Linked DNA regions of Neurospora crassa OR74A. The main gene of each other region encodes a partner of the protein of the gene in region 3 in a complex. Links are inferred from orthologs where the notes say so. Each region holds a gene or a part of one and is shown on either strand. Other genes may lie near its edges. The genes, in order: tim23, tim17 and tim50.

Evidence for each region.
Region 1: tim50 (region 3) and tim23 share a complex: the UniProt entries of both Schizosaccharomyces pombe proteins name them as parts of the TIM23 complex. The link is inferred for Neurospora crassa OR74A from reciprocal best matches to the Schizosaccharomyces pombe genes tim50 and tim23.
Region 2: tim50 (region 3) and tim17 share a complex: the UniProt entries of both Schizosaccharomyces pombe proteins name them as parts of the TIM23 complex. The link is inferred for Neurospora crassa OR74A from reciprocal best matches to the Schizosaccharomyces pombe genes tim50 and tim17.

Annotation. Positions count from the first base shown.
Region 1 is NC_026503.1:3,607,758-3,611,491, forward strand, and holds tim23 (mitochondrial import inner membrane translocase subunit tim23), read right to left. Parts: upstream 2,275-3,734; 5' UTR 2,029-2,274; coding exon 1,363-2,028; intron 1,293-1,362; coding exon 1,242-1,292; 3' UTR 534-1,241; downstream 1-533. Other genes in the region: NCU00372 (hypothetical protein), read left to right, coding at 3,014-3,162, 3,261-3,734. UniProt on the Schizosaccharomyces pombe protein: Essential component of the TIM23 complex, a complex that mediates the translocation of transit peptide-containing proteins across the mitochondrial inner membrane.
Region 2 is NC_026506.1:1,284,855-1,289,155, forward strand, and holds tim17 (mitochondrial inner membrane translocase subunit TIM17), read right to left. Parts: upstream 2,838-4,301; 5' UTR 2,576-2,837; coding exon 2,507-2,575; intron 2,340-2,506; coding exon 2,219-2,339; intron 2,151-2,218; coding exon 1,915-2,150; intron 1,845-1,914; coding exon 1,803-1,844; 3' UTR 1,447-1,802; downstream 1-1,446. Other genes in the region: NCU05624 (L-asparaginase), read left to right, coding at 1-1,446. UniProt on the Schizosaccharomyces pombe protein: Essential component of the TIM23 complex, a complex that mediates the translocation of transit peptide-containing proteins across the mitochondrial inner membrane.
Region 3 is NC_026501.1:8,625,264-8,629,318, forward strand, and holds tim50 (mitochondrial import inner membrane translocase subunit tim-50), read right to left. Parts: upstream 2,822-4,055; 5' UTR 2,551-2,821; coding exon 1,552-2,550; intron 1,488-1,551; coding exon 864-1,487; 3' UTR 364-863; downstream 1-363. UniProt on the Schizosaccharomyces pombe protein: Essential component of the TIM23 complex, a complex that mediates the translocation of transit peptide-containing proteins across the mitochondrial inner membrane.

The DNA.
Region 1 (3,734 bases), on a different chromosome or scaffold from region 3:
CAAAGGTGGATGATTACGTTGTCTTCTTTCTATGCTAAAGTGTTCTGTTGGTATACTATCGAGTTTTTGTATATTCTTCAAGTGGCTTTCTATGGTGGTTTAGGAAGAAGGTGGGGATACATTACACGTTACATATGATCATGTCGAGCTCGCCTTTCTCCTTTTGCAACAGCATCCCACACCAGGAACCAAATGATGTTAGCTCGATCTTGTTATAACCAAAGATATGGATGGGAAACTTGCTTTATTAGTCTTCGATCTTAGAGAAAGCAATAACGGGATTCGTAGAGGGACTTAGCATAAAGAGGCAAGCAAGGTTATTATCGTTACTGCCACTTGTAGCTCACTAGTCTGTCGGTTATCGAAGAATTGATTTTCCTCCCTGTCTTGATCTCTCTGCTTCCATGTATTGAAACTGGTGCTTGCCTGTTGTTCTCAAGCCAAAGATTTGCATGGGGAATACTCGAGGAACAATGTGCGTACGGTTTCCAGTTCTGTGGCAAATAGGGAATTCGTCGGAGATGGGCCTTATCCTAAGAGAGTGGATATGTTCATTCGTAGTCCTGCCCCTAAGTCGCTTCGAACTTTGAACTCACACCTGCTTGCAGTCATTTTCGACACCAACGTGTGGCAGGGTGACATGCCCAATATATCCCACACCAAACATTACCTCTCTATTATCTTATCATAAAACCCGGAGCCAACAGTCATGTACAACCCGCAATAGACTCAAAGTTTGAATGAAGCCTGCCGCAATGCCCCATATGCCCAACCAGGGCGATTGCGCTCTATGTCCATATGATCCGCTATAATACATACAATTTTCCACACACGGGGAGGAGAGAGATGAGACTAACCCTTGCGCTATGCACCACTATGCACACACCCTGCCCTTTGGCCCCTCTTCCATGTCCTGCCTTGTTCAAGCCCTGCCCAGCCCAGTGTCGCTTTATTTTCGTTCTTCCCTCTCTTGTTCGTACACATCCACCAGTTCGTGTCTGCTGCCCTTTTGCTCCGTGTTGAACCAAGGACACACACACATCTTCATCGCAGTGGTCTTCCGTGCTGGTGAGAAAGACACTGGTTTTCTTCTGTCAGTTCTCTCGAAGATTAAAATAATAGAGAAGGCTGGCTAGCTATGCACTCTTTTCATGGAGCAACGATAGATGGCCAGAGAGTCGTGGGATGAAGGGAACAGAAGATGACTTTTTTTGTTTCCTATTTCATTCTTCGTCCCCACTTCAGTCAACCTCGTTGGTCTGGGGGGAGGGGAAGAACGTCCTCCTGGCGACCTAGTGACACAGTAAAGTTAGCAAGGTGTATTTCCAGTCTACGCCTGCCATACGAAAAATGGTGACATACCGCCCAAGTACCGGCTATCGTCGCAACAATACCACCCGAGATCATCATGGGCTTCAGACCCCTGGTGCTCTTGAAGAGCATACCACTAAGCGCACCGGCCAGGATTGAGTTGGCGGCATCGTGCTTGCCCCTCACGTAACCAATGCCGGCGTTGATTAGGTTGTAGCAGATGGCGACAACACCAGCCGAGTTGCCGAGGTAGGGACCGCGACGGGTGACAGCGTTAAGGACGGAGTTGAGGCGCAGCTTGGGCGGCTGGCCGGCCGATCTCTGGAGACCCTCTTTCAAACCCCACGCGCCTCCGATAGTGAGGGCCGTCAGGTAGGTGATACCGGTTCCGTAGCAGAGGTCGTCAGTGAAGCCGCGCGAGGGCAGAACTGAGGCGCCGGCGGCATCGGGCAGCGGGGTATCCTCAAGCGAGATGTATTCTAGTGTTTCCTTGTTGAGGCCGGCAAGAGGGTGTAGTTGTGTGGGGTCGGCGAAGGAAGAGCTACCGAGAAAGGCCTCGACACCTTGGGGCTGGCTAGCATCGAAGGGCGAGGGATATGAAGGAGCGGAGGTGGTGGTGGTGGTTGTCTGAGGTGCGCTGGGGGCGGGTGCGGCGGGCTCTTGCTGCTCTTGCTGCTTCTTGTTGCCTCCGGTGAGGGTGTTCCAAAGGCCGGACATTGTGACTGAAGTGGAGGGGTTCGATGGGTTATCGGATCGTTAAGCAGTTGGGGAACACGAAGCAGATAGACCGCGTACTGCTGCGCGCAAGAGTGGTGACGGGTAGCCGGAGGGAAGGGTGGGTGGGTGGTGCCGTCGGCAAACGAGTAAGCTATCGTATCTTCGGGGGAGTGACGGACGGGTCGGTGGGCGAGACGGATGGGATCTCGAATTGGCTCCGGCTCACGCGCAACTTGGACCGACGCCTGTCTTGGCCCCCGATAACGTCGGAACTTCGAAAAAATTTACCTCTATGGCGCCCGCATGGCCCGTGCGAGCGATTGGCGTCATATGTACCTCTACATATGTATATACATGCTCTGGGGCTTTGATTTCGGGGACATGTCAACATGGCGAAGTGGAACTCAACCGAGGCTGTAATGAAGAAGACCTTATTGAAAGGTCAACTGCAGTACATCGTGGGCATCTGAAGCTAGACTACGCCTTGAACAGATATATTCAACGGATTCTCCATGTTCCCATTCCTGCTTTCTCAGGACTTCTTCGCCTTTGGATCTTTTACGGGGACGGTTCGTTCGTGGGGATTCTTTTACTGCTACAGTGCAGGGGTATCTCTTGACATGGCGGCAGGCAACTTCAGACCCAAAACAAGCACGGTGGCCGGAGTGGATTCACCCCCAGAACATGCGCAGTGGATGTAAACACACAGTGGGTGATGCTATAGGCCTTTGAAGATCCCAAAATTTCACAACTCGTCGCTCATACTTTACACGAGTGCCCAGCAGAGAGGTGGATTACTTACTATCACAGTAACTTCAGGCCCTCACTAACTCTCACTGGGGGGCTCATTGACGGTCAGGCACTTACCACTCTTCGCTCCTTCTTTATTGCCTCCCTTTCCCAGTCATCATCACTCTGCAACGAAGTCTCGGATGCACGTCTAAACCCGGTCCCTCAATCATAACTTCCCTTTTGGACTGCGGGGATGGAGTCAACCCAAGTCCAGCAAAATGCCCCCGGCAGCAGCACCATTGACACGGACGCTCTGCTAGCCGGACTGGGCCCCGAAGTGTTTGAAAATGCCAACACCATCACCAAGTGGCTGTTGTCACAACCCACCGAGTCACTCCCAGCGTAGGTTTCTTTTCTTTCGGATATCTTCAGTGTCCAGTTATTCTTTGTGAGAAGTTCTCAATCACACATATACAGACATTCACTAACACCCGTGTTAGCATCGCACAGGCAGTATTTGCCAAGTTGTTCAGCAATGCCTCTGAGTCTCGCCAGTATCACGGCAACGGTCACGATGTCGTAAGGCTCTGCAGCTTTGTTCAGCAATGCGCCAAGGCCAAAGACGAGAAGCTGAAGGAATGGGCCTTCACCGAGCCCGTCTCAACGAAGCTGTTCCATTTCTACCTTGAGTGGTATGAACACGACCCGCATCGTGCCCTGAGACTGATTCTTGATGTCCTTGTGGCCTCGGCGACCATTAATCCCAAACCCGAGACAGGGAAGGCAGTGAAGGAACACATCCTCAAGACCATCGTGGAGATTGTCGCTCGCAAGTCTGCCATGCAACTGACCAAGTCTGGCCTGCAGTGTCTGGACCACTTCTTGAACAAAAAGGTTCTTTCCCTCGACGATGTTGCTCGCAAGTATCGCGAGGTCGACTCTTCTGTCGCCGACCTATCTCATCTCTCCGTGTG
Region 2 (4,301 bases), on a different chromosome or scaffold from region 3:
TCCTCCCCTACCCGCGTCCAAGTTCAACCGCGTCTAATCATCCATGGCGGCGCCGGCAACATCACCCCCGCCAGCCTCGGCCCGGAGCGCTACGTCGCCTACCGCTCCTCCCTCCTGACTATCGTCTCCAAGGCGCACACCTACCTGACCACGCCCACCCAGTCCAATTACAATTCCCCTTCCAGTTCCTCAAAACTCCCATCAGCCCTCGAAGCCGCCACCTACGCCGTCACCCTTCTCGAAGACAACCCCCTCTTCAACAGCGGCCACGGCGCCGTCTTTACCCGCGATGGCATCAATGAGCTCGAGGCTTCCGTCATGGTCAGTCGGGGTCAGGCCAAGCGGGGTGTGGGAGTGACCGGGTTGCGCCACGTTCGGAATCCGATTCTTCTGGCAAAGAAGGTTTTGGAGCACGGGAAGGACGATCTTTTGGGTCGTGGAAAGAAGCTTGATAATAACACTGGAGATGGGGAGCCTGATGTCCCCTCGGCACAAGGCCATACGCTGATCCACGGCCCAACGGCGGAAAAGTTGGCGAGGCAGTATGGCTTGGAGATGGTGGATCCTAGTTACTTCTTTACGCAGAAGCGGTGGGACGAGCACGTTCGGGCGTTGGAAAGGGAGAAGAGGGAGCAGCAGGATCTGCTTGGCGCTGGCACTGCTAGTGGCGTTTCAGCGACCTGGAGTAAGGACGAGTATCTGCCGCAGGGAACGGTCGGTGCGGTGGCGCTGGATGTCGAGGGCGTGATTTGCGTGGCGACGAGCACAGGCGGCATGACGAATAAGTTGACGGGCAGAATTGGTGATACGCCTGTTGTCGGGGCTGGGTTCTGGGCTGAGGAGTGGACGGAGGAAGGTGATCCTACTTCTCCTCATAAGAACGGATCGCGGAATCCGTTGTATAGCCCGGGACCAGCGGTGGTTTTGTCGGATGCGCTCAAGAGACTCATCGCCGATTGTCTGCCTTCGCCTTTCCTGTATACCCCCACTCTTCAAGACTCGTCTGGCGGGTTGACCACCACCCGGTCGATCGGTGTTTCTGGGACAGGCAATGGTGATTCATTCTTCCGCGTTTCTGCCGCGAGAACTGTGGGCGCCATTGCCAGATATTCTAGCCTTCCTTCCGTCGTGGCCCTGACCAAGGTTGCTGGGCCGTCCGGAGAGCTTCAGAAGAGCGCCGATGATCGATGGGGCAAGGCTGGCGAAGGCGAAGGTGGCATCATCGGACTGGAGTTGGTGGTCGTGCGGGACGCAAGTGGTAATGTCGTTGAGACTCGGTCCGATATCCTTCAGGACTATAACTGCGGTGGCATGTTTCGGGCTTGGATAGACGAGGAAGGTGTCGCGTATGCTCGCATCTTTCGAAAGGATCAGGATATCTCCAGTTCATATGTCGGCGAAGGTAGACCCGAAGATCCGCGGTTTTGGAGTGGCGAAAAGATCTAGTAGTTTAGTTACATGGTTCCCTTCTGTCTTGAAGCACGTTAGCCGGTAACACATTCGCAAAGCGTATGATGTCTTCCAAAAAAAAGAGAAATATTATTCGGATGGCTGTTCTTCCGCGCTGAGGCAAAGCATCCACGCCGACCCCCTTATATGGCAAGCGTGACCAACAAACCCATTTCTATGTTACATGGAACGCCGCCACCTAAAATGCTGAACCGTCATGAAATGCGTAGACAAATACACAGCCTAGCCCAACCGATACGGGCCAGGTGGGAGAAAGGAGTTGAGAGAGATGATATAGTCGACAATCTTTGCGCATCCTAAATCGAGGTTTTTAAATGACCGCTGTATTGTATTTAGGCAAGAACTTTTTCGTTGGACGGAGGTGGCGCAGGAGCCTAGTAGTGTGAGAGAGAGCGAGTTAGCAACCGCCAGTTGATCACCTCTCAACGACCTTCCCATGCATACCTCTAGCTTTGTGGCGCCCGCAAGCATCTTCTGGAAACCAATACCGACACCCTCAATAACAGCCAGGAGGACAGCGCAGCCGATAGCACCGTTACGGGCCGCCTTGTAGCCACCACGAACCGCCAACGCGCCACCCGTGAAGAAACCGGCGAGGATGGAGTTCCACGGGTCCTCCTTGTGGTTCCTTAGTCCCTTGATAGCGCAGTCGAATGTGCTGAAAAGACCACCCCAGACACCTGGATGCCACATGTCAGTATCGGCCGTGGCAAGAGCCGCGTGAGATGTGTCAGGCGGGTTGACTAACCGAAGTTACCGCCGAGCGCAGGGGCGCGCATCTTGATGGCAGTGATGGCGCCGATTCTCCTCTCGCCGTAAGGGCTGTTACGGAAGCCCTTGATACCGTGCCAGATCGTACCACCGATAGCCTATGGTCGGCGACATTGTGTCAGTAACTGACTCCATGCAGCAAGCAGTCAACAAGGTTGAGGCGACGGCGACAACGAGGGGTTTAGGCCAACCACACTCGACGTGTGTCATCACTGGTGGCTGCCCATGTGGTGCGAGAACAAGAACATGGTGAGAGAAAACATACACCCATGGCGAAGGCACCACCGAAATCGTTGAGGATAACCCACGGGCAAGGGTCGCGAGTGTGATCCATTTTGGCGGGTGGTTTATGGGGATCGCGAATTAAACGGTGATGGGGTAGTCTCTCGGAGAGGAGGAAATATGTCGCAGTCGAGTTCTAGTTCGGAGTGCGACAATGAAGGGAGGTCGTCGGGGACGCAAGGCGACGGGGAGGTGGTGGTGGTGGAGGACTGGTGGCGTTGCTGGGTGGGAGTCGGCGGGGGAGCAAGCGGATGCAGCCAGATGGATGGATTTTTGATAAAGATACGGGCGCGGAGTTCGGAGACGGTTTGGTGATGATCTCAGAAGCCAAAGAAAATTATGACCGCCTTGCAAGGGTCAGTTCCGGGCAGGCCCACCAACCTTGCCGTGCCAAGACCTAGGTGGCTTCCTTTCCTGGTCCGAGCGTCACTTGTTTCAGTCCAGATCACTTATCACTTCGGGCGGGTGGTACCTCGACGATACATTGAAACTCTTGTTCCGCCTACACTTTGCGCCAACATCAGCGTAAATCGGCGAGTCCATACGGCGATAGTTTCTGATGGTCTCCTTGATCGCCGACTATGGGAGCCAAGTCACCGATATGGCTTGATATCAGCACGAGTTTTGGGGTGCTATTCAGCCTTGAAGCCATCCTTCGGCGTCCTCCTAACATCACTTTGCCTCATATTGTGGTACCTTCGGGTACCTTCCACCCTTTCTCTTCGCCCTGCTTTCAGCTGATTCCGAACCAAAGTTGTTTCGAACATCACGGCGATCATCACTTTTACTTCTTCTGTTTAACTCAGCTGCTTTGGGAGTTTGAACCTTGCGAGCCTTTGTGGACTCTATGCTCTGATGATTTGGATTTCAGGGCATTTCCAAGTCAACATTTCACCAAGAGTAAGGGGCACAAAGCGACAGCAGCATTGTACGACATATGCAATCTCGACGCGTCTCATCACCATCCGATGTCGCTTCATCCCATACAACATCGAGATAACTGAGCCATTTTTCCGACCAGTCTTCAAAACCACATAGCTGGGTGGTGGTGTGATTTGATCTCCAAGTGAAAATGTACCTCTTTGTTGTGCTTGTGATACCCACACGCTCCCAAGCTCGAAGCAACCCATGTCACGGTACCTTTGGACTGGCTCAATCTAGCTGTTCCACAACAGAACAAAGACCCAGGAACTGGGCTGGATTTCGCGGCTATCATGCAAAATATTCGTAGGGGACCATCACTATCTGCAACTGATAGTGTTGAAGCTCGCCCAGACACCAAGTGTGGCGTAAAGTTCCTTGATCGTGTGGACATCAGAGCCAGGATGTTTGCCTGCTGTCTGGGGTAGAGCGGAGTATTATAGGAAGAAGCCATTGCCATTCCGTTTCTTTTGATCGCTCAATCGTGTGACTCAGCTGAACTTGACAACAACGAGGCTGTTGGCGATCCGAAAAGCGGTGAGATGCCTCCGTCCTTCTTCTTTCGACCCATCCGTTCTGGGTTTTAGGGATGTGAATATCCCACCACTGGACTTATATATTCCTAGCTACTTGATGGATGGTGTCGTCAACCCCATGATCTCGCGTCATCGTACGGCATCCGTAAGCACTTTCCCGGGTCATCAAAAACGCAAGCAAACATGACAGAAATCTGCTATTGCGACATGGGCGAGCACGAAACGAAGCCCAATGGAAGCAATGGCGTTCTGCATATACCATGCTCATCCAAATCTTCCACTTCTTCCTTGACAGCATCTCTGGAGACGCCATATCAGCCC
Region 3 (4,055 bases):
ACATACCTGGTGGAAAGAAAAGGTCTCCAGACATTGATAAGTGACCCTGGACACAAAGATCCGTATCTCGACTGTGCTCCTCACAGTTCTGACCCGACGGCGTGGTCAAGAGGGGTTCGCTCGAATGCGTAACATTTCATCGAATTAGTATCGGCTATCCTACCCCTGATCGGGAATATGTCAAGGATGACAAGTCATAGTCCTCGCAACACTGGACGATGAGATGTCCAATGCAATAAGGTGTTGAGTTGTGCCAACCCAAGCTCAATACCAATGACTTTCTTTAATAAAGCACCGGGTTCGACTGGTGGGACTGTGCTCGCTGACAATGCGAGGACAGATATTTATCTCGCTTAACGCGAGGCGGCTTCGATAACGAGAGAAGGTGAATGAGCTAGTGGGTGTTCTTCGATTAGGATGTTCCCTCGACTTGCGGTCACACAGTAACGTGCTCCTGGCATCACGAATAAAATGCAGGGAGGCGAACAGACAAGACTTCTTGCTGAGAAGGGATGTTTGCCCGAAGTGATATGGAAAAGTGTTGGAATTGTCATAACTTTTTTTCGTTGAGAGACATTCTACAGCACCTCTAGAGCCACACCCTCAGACAGATTATGTAGATGTATGAAACCTTCTCTTTCCTAAGTGACCCACGCCTATTCCAATGCTCCGCATGTGAAGGAAGAATACCATGACCGGAGTAGAGAAGTCCGGTAAATCCCTTTAGTGACGCCAATCATAGACAGAGAATGGAAAATGGAAAAAAGAAATAGCACAAGACATGGTAAAAGTACAAGAAAATGGTCACAAGGTGTTGATACATATCGTCGCGGATGACTGAGGGGGCGGATTCGTTTGGTCGATTAGGCCTTCTTCTCTGACTCGCCGGACTGCTGCTCGCCGCTGGGAGCACCGCCGAACCAGCCAAAGACGGAACTCTGCATGTTCTTCATCATCTCTTTCTGGGCCTTCTCCTGGGCCTCCTGCTCCATCTTGAGCCACATCTCGCCGTTCTTCTTGATCTCCTCCTCCATGGCCAGGTAGTTGCGCATGCCGCGCTCACGGGCAATATCCTGGATCATCTTGCCCTTAGCAAAAGCCTCAGAAGGATCCTCCTCGCCCTCCATGGCCATGGGGTTCAGCTTGCTAGGCTTGATGCCGAAGCGGGCGCCAAGCGAGCCCAAGCCAGCCTTCTTGGCCTTGGCGGCAACGAGCTTGTTGTGCTCAGCGCGGGCAATGGCCTCTCTACGGGCAAACTCGGTGGGGATGTGCTGGCCCTCGAAGGACTTGAGGACCTTGCGAACATCGGGGAAGTTCATGGTGTGGATGAACTCGAGGAAGGGGACGAGGGACACGAGCTCGGTATCCTTGGGATCACCCTTCCACTTGGGGAGGACGATGGCGTTCTCGGGCTGGGCGCGCACGTGCTTGGGGTCGGTATCAATGATGATGACCTTGGACAAGTCTCTGTTGAGATAAGAAAGGTCCTGTGCGACAATGGTTGGTTAGCTACCGTGATGGTGCAATCTTGACAGCTCTAGGTGGTCCTACCTTGACGATCTCGCCATCCTTGTACTTGGTCGCCTCCCTAAAGAGGGGCCACATGATGAAGCGGTACGGGTCCATCTTGCGGACAATAGGCTCAGCGTTGGCAAAGGGAACGCTGGTGAAGAGAACAATCTCGTAGTACTGGCTGAGGTAGCGCAAGAAGTAGTCGACACCAGGACGCTTGGCGAGACGCCAGCCGTGGTCGCGCGTCCACTCGCTATGCACCAGCATATCTTCCAAACTGATACAGAGGGTGTACGGACGCTCGAATGACGGATCCGGGTCGGGTAGCAGCTTCTCGAAGGCAGGTTCCTGGTAGTAGCTGACGGTTCCAGTCATCCTGGCCTTGGCCCTCTTCCACCACAGGCCGAGACCCCAGCCATTTGGTATATCATGGTGCTTCTCAAGCTCCTCCTCATCCCATTCCCTTCCCAAGTAGATCGTTCCACCCACCAAGGCGAGACCAGCGGCAATGAAGGCCCAGTTGGCCATCTTTTGGCGGCGCTTCTCAGTAGAAGAAACGTAGGCAGAATCGGGGAGCTGGCCCTTCTTGCGGCCGCCACCACCGCTGCCTGACGTAGCGGCCTCAGGGCCCTCGGCGCCCTCAGCCTGTGTCTCTGCCTCCTCACCGGCGACCGGCTTCTTGCCGGCCTCCTTCTGGGCCATCTCATACTCTAGGGTGGTGGGAATACCACCTCTTAGATCGGGGAGCTTGGACAGGTCGATTTCGGGTTCGGGTTCGGATTCGGCTGGGGTTTGTTGTTGCTGCTGTTGCTGCTGCTTCTGCTCAGCTTTCTCGGATTCGGCGGGCTCGGGGGCCTTGGGAGTAGCCTTTTGTGCGGGAGTGCTCTCGGGCTTGGAGAACTTGGGAGGCTTGTTGTCCTTGGCCATGGAACGGGTCCAGACGGCGGGCAGGGTGCGCTGCGACAGGAGAGGCGACGCCGCGTGAGCTGCAACACGCGCGCCCGCGATGGAGCGCACGGCAGCTCTGGACAGCATCATGACTGATATTGGTTGGACACACAAAGGGCAGCAGCTGTTTGGAGCTGTGTGGTGTCGAGTGTCCCCTAGTGATGGAAACCGGAGGTGGATGGATGCCCGGGTGGTTGCAGGAGGGGGGGGGGGGGGAGCTGGTTGCTGCCTCTAGGTGGTGGAAACAAGTGACGATAACAGTAGGATAACGGAAATTCAGGGCGTCGTAGTCAGTTGCAGTCAGTCAGTATCCGCTGGGCCCGATAGCGATATGATATCCCAAAACCAAACTTTCCAATTCCACAAACTCAAGCTTCCCGCCCCGGCCGGCTGCTCGCCCAGAAAAAAACTTGAGTCCTGAACCTTCCGTCACAACGCTGCTAGTTGAACTTCAGCCTTGGCGCGCTTCTTTCGGTCCAATCAGACACGAAGGAGGGGTCTGTCGCTGGATCTTCCAAGGCCGCCGTGCACAGACCTTTGATGTTCTGAGAGTTCTTGTTCCCGGCCCCAATGGCCCCACATACGGAGTTAAGCGTCAAAGACAGTGGGGGACATGTCGTCATCTTTCAGCTTGTGGTTGTTGCATGGATGGATGACAATCACGTCTTTGATCTCCAATTCACCATCTCAACTCCAATATGGCTTAAAAGATAAAACTCTTGATCTCGTCTCCAGGAGACTATCTATTACGACAGGTGTCTGAGATCCTATGTCGGTTGGAAGATTCGGGCACGATTTGACAGGTGTCGTTTATTGGACTGCAGATACTGAAAACGTCAGACGACCGTGACACTATGTACTCTTCCACTGGCATTGCGCCTACAGACGGGATGCTTTTCGACGAGCAGATTACTGTTGCGTGGAAAGGAGCAAGTATAATTTGTAAATGAAGGGAGGTTGCGAACTAAACAAGTACCGGGCATTCAAAGGTATGACTGGCTCTTCGATAACTAAAGCTCTTCTGAGCCATTCAGATCACTTCGCTCTTCTCCTAACCACACAGTTGCTATCTAAACGACGGATGGAAAGCTTGGGTGACCTGACTGACGACTTGATCACCTCAAAAGTCCCCCAGGTGAACCATATGCTAAGTGGATGTTTTTTTCTGTTACAATCCAGTTCAGTAGTTGTACCTCTTGGTGATCCAGGCCATTTGTGTGATTTCCCTACTCTACCCCTAACCCTCTTGCTATCCGAGTACAGCTTATGTAATGCGTCGGTCAAAGCAAATCGTCTGCACACTCAGCGATACAGCGATGCCGTGTTTTGCTGTGATGGACATCCAATTGAACCATTCAACATCATCCACTCAGTTGCCTTCCCCTCACCTGCACTTCTCGGTAGGTAGGTGACCACTTCTTGCTCGTTTTGTTTCTGCATCGTTCTAGCAAGCCGAGACGGAACCGAATCGATACAATTGACGAATCTTCTTTTTAACACAACACTTGCCCTCTTCTGCTCCCAACCCATCTTCTCTCCTTCCCACTCCCGTCTTCTCTGTTTCTTCTGGAACATATCATCATTCATCCAACGCT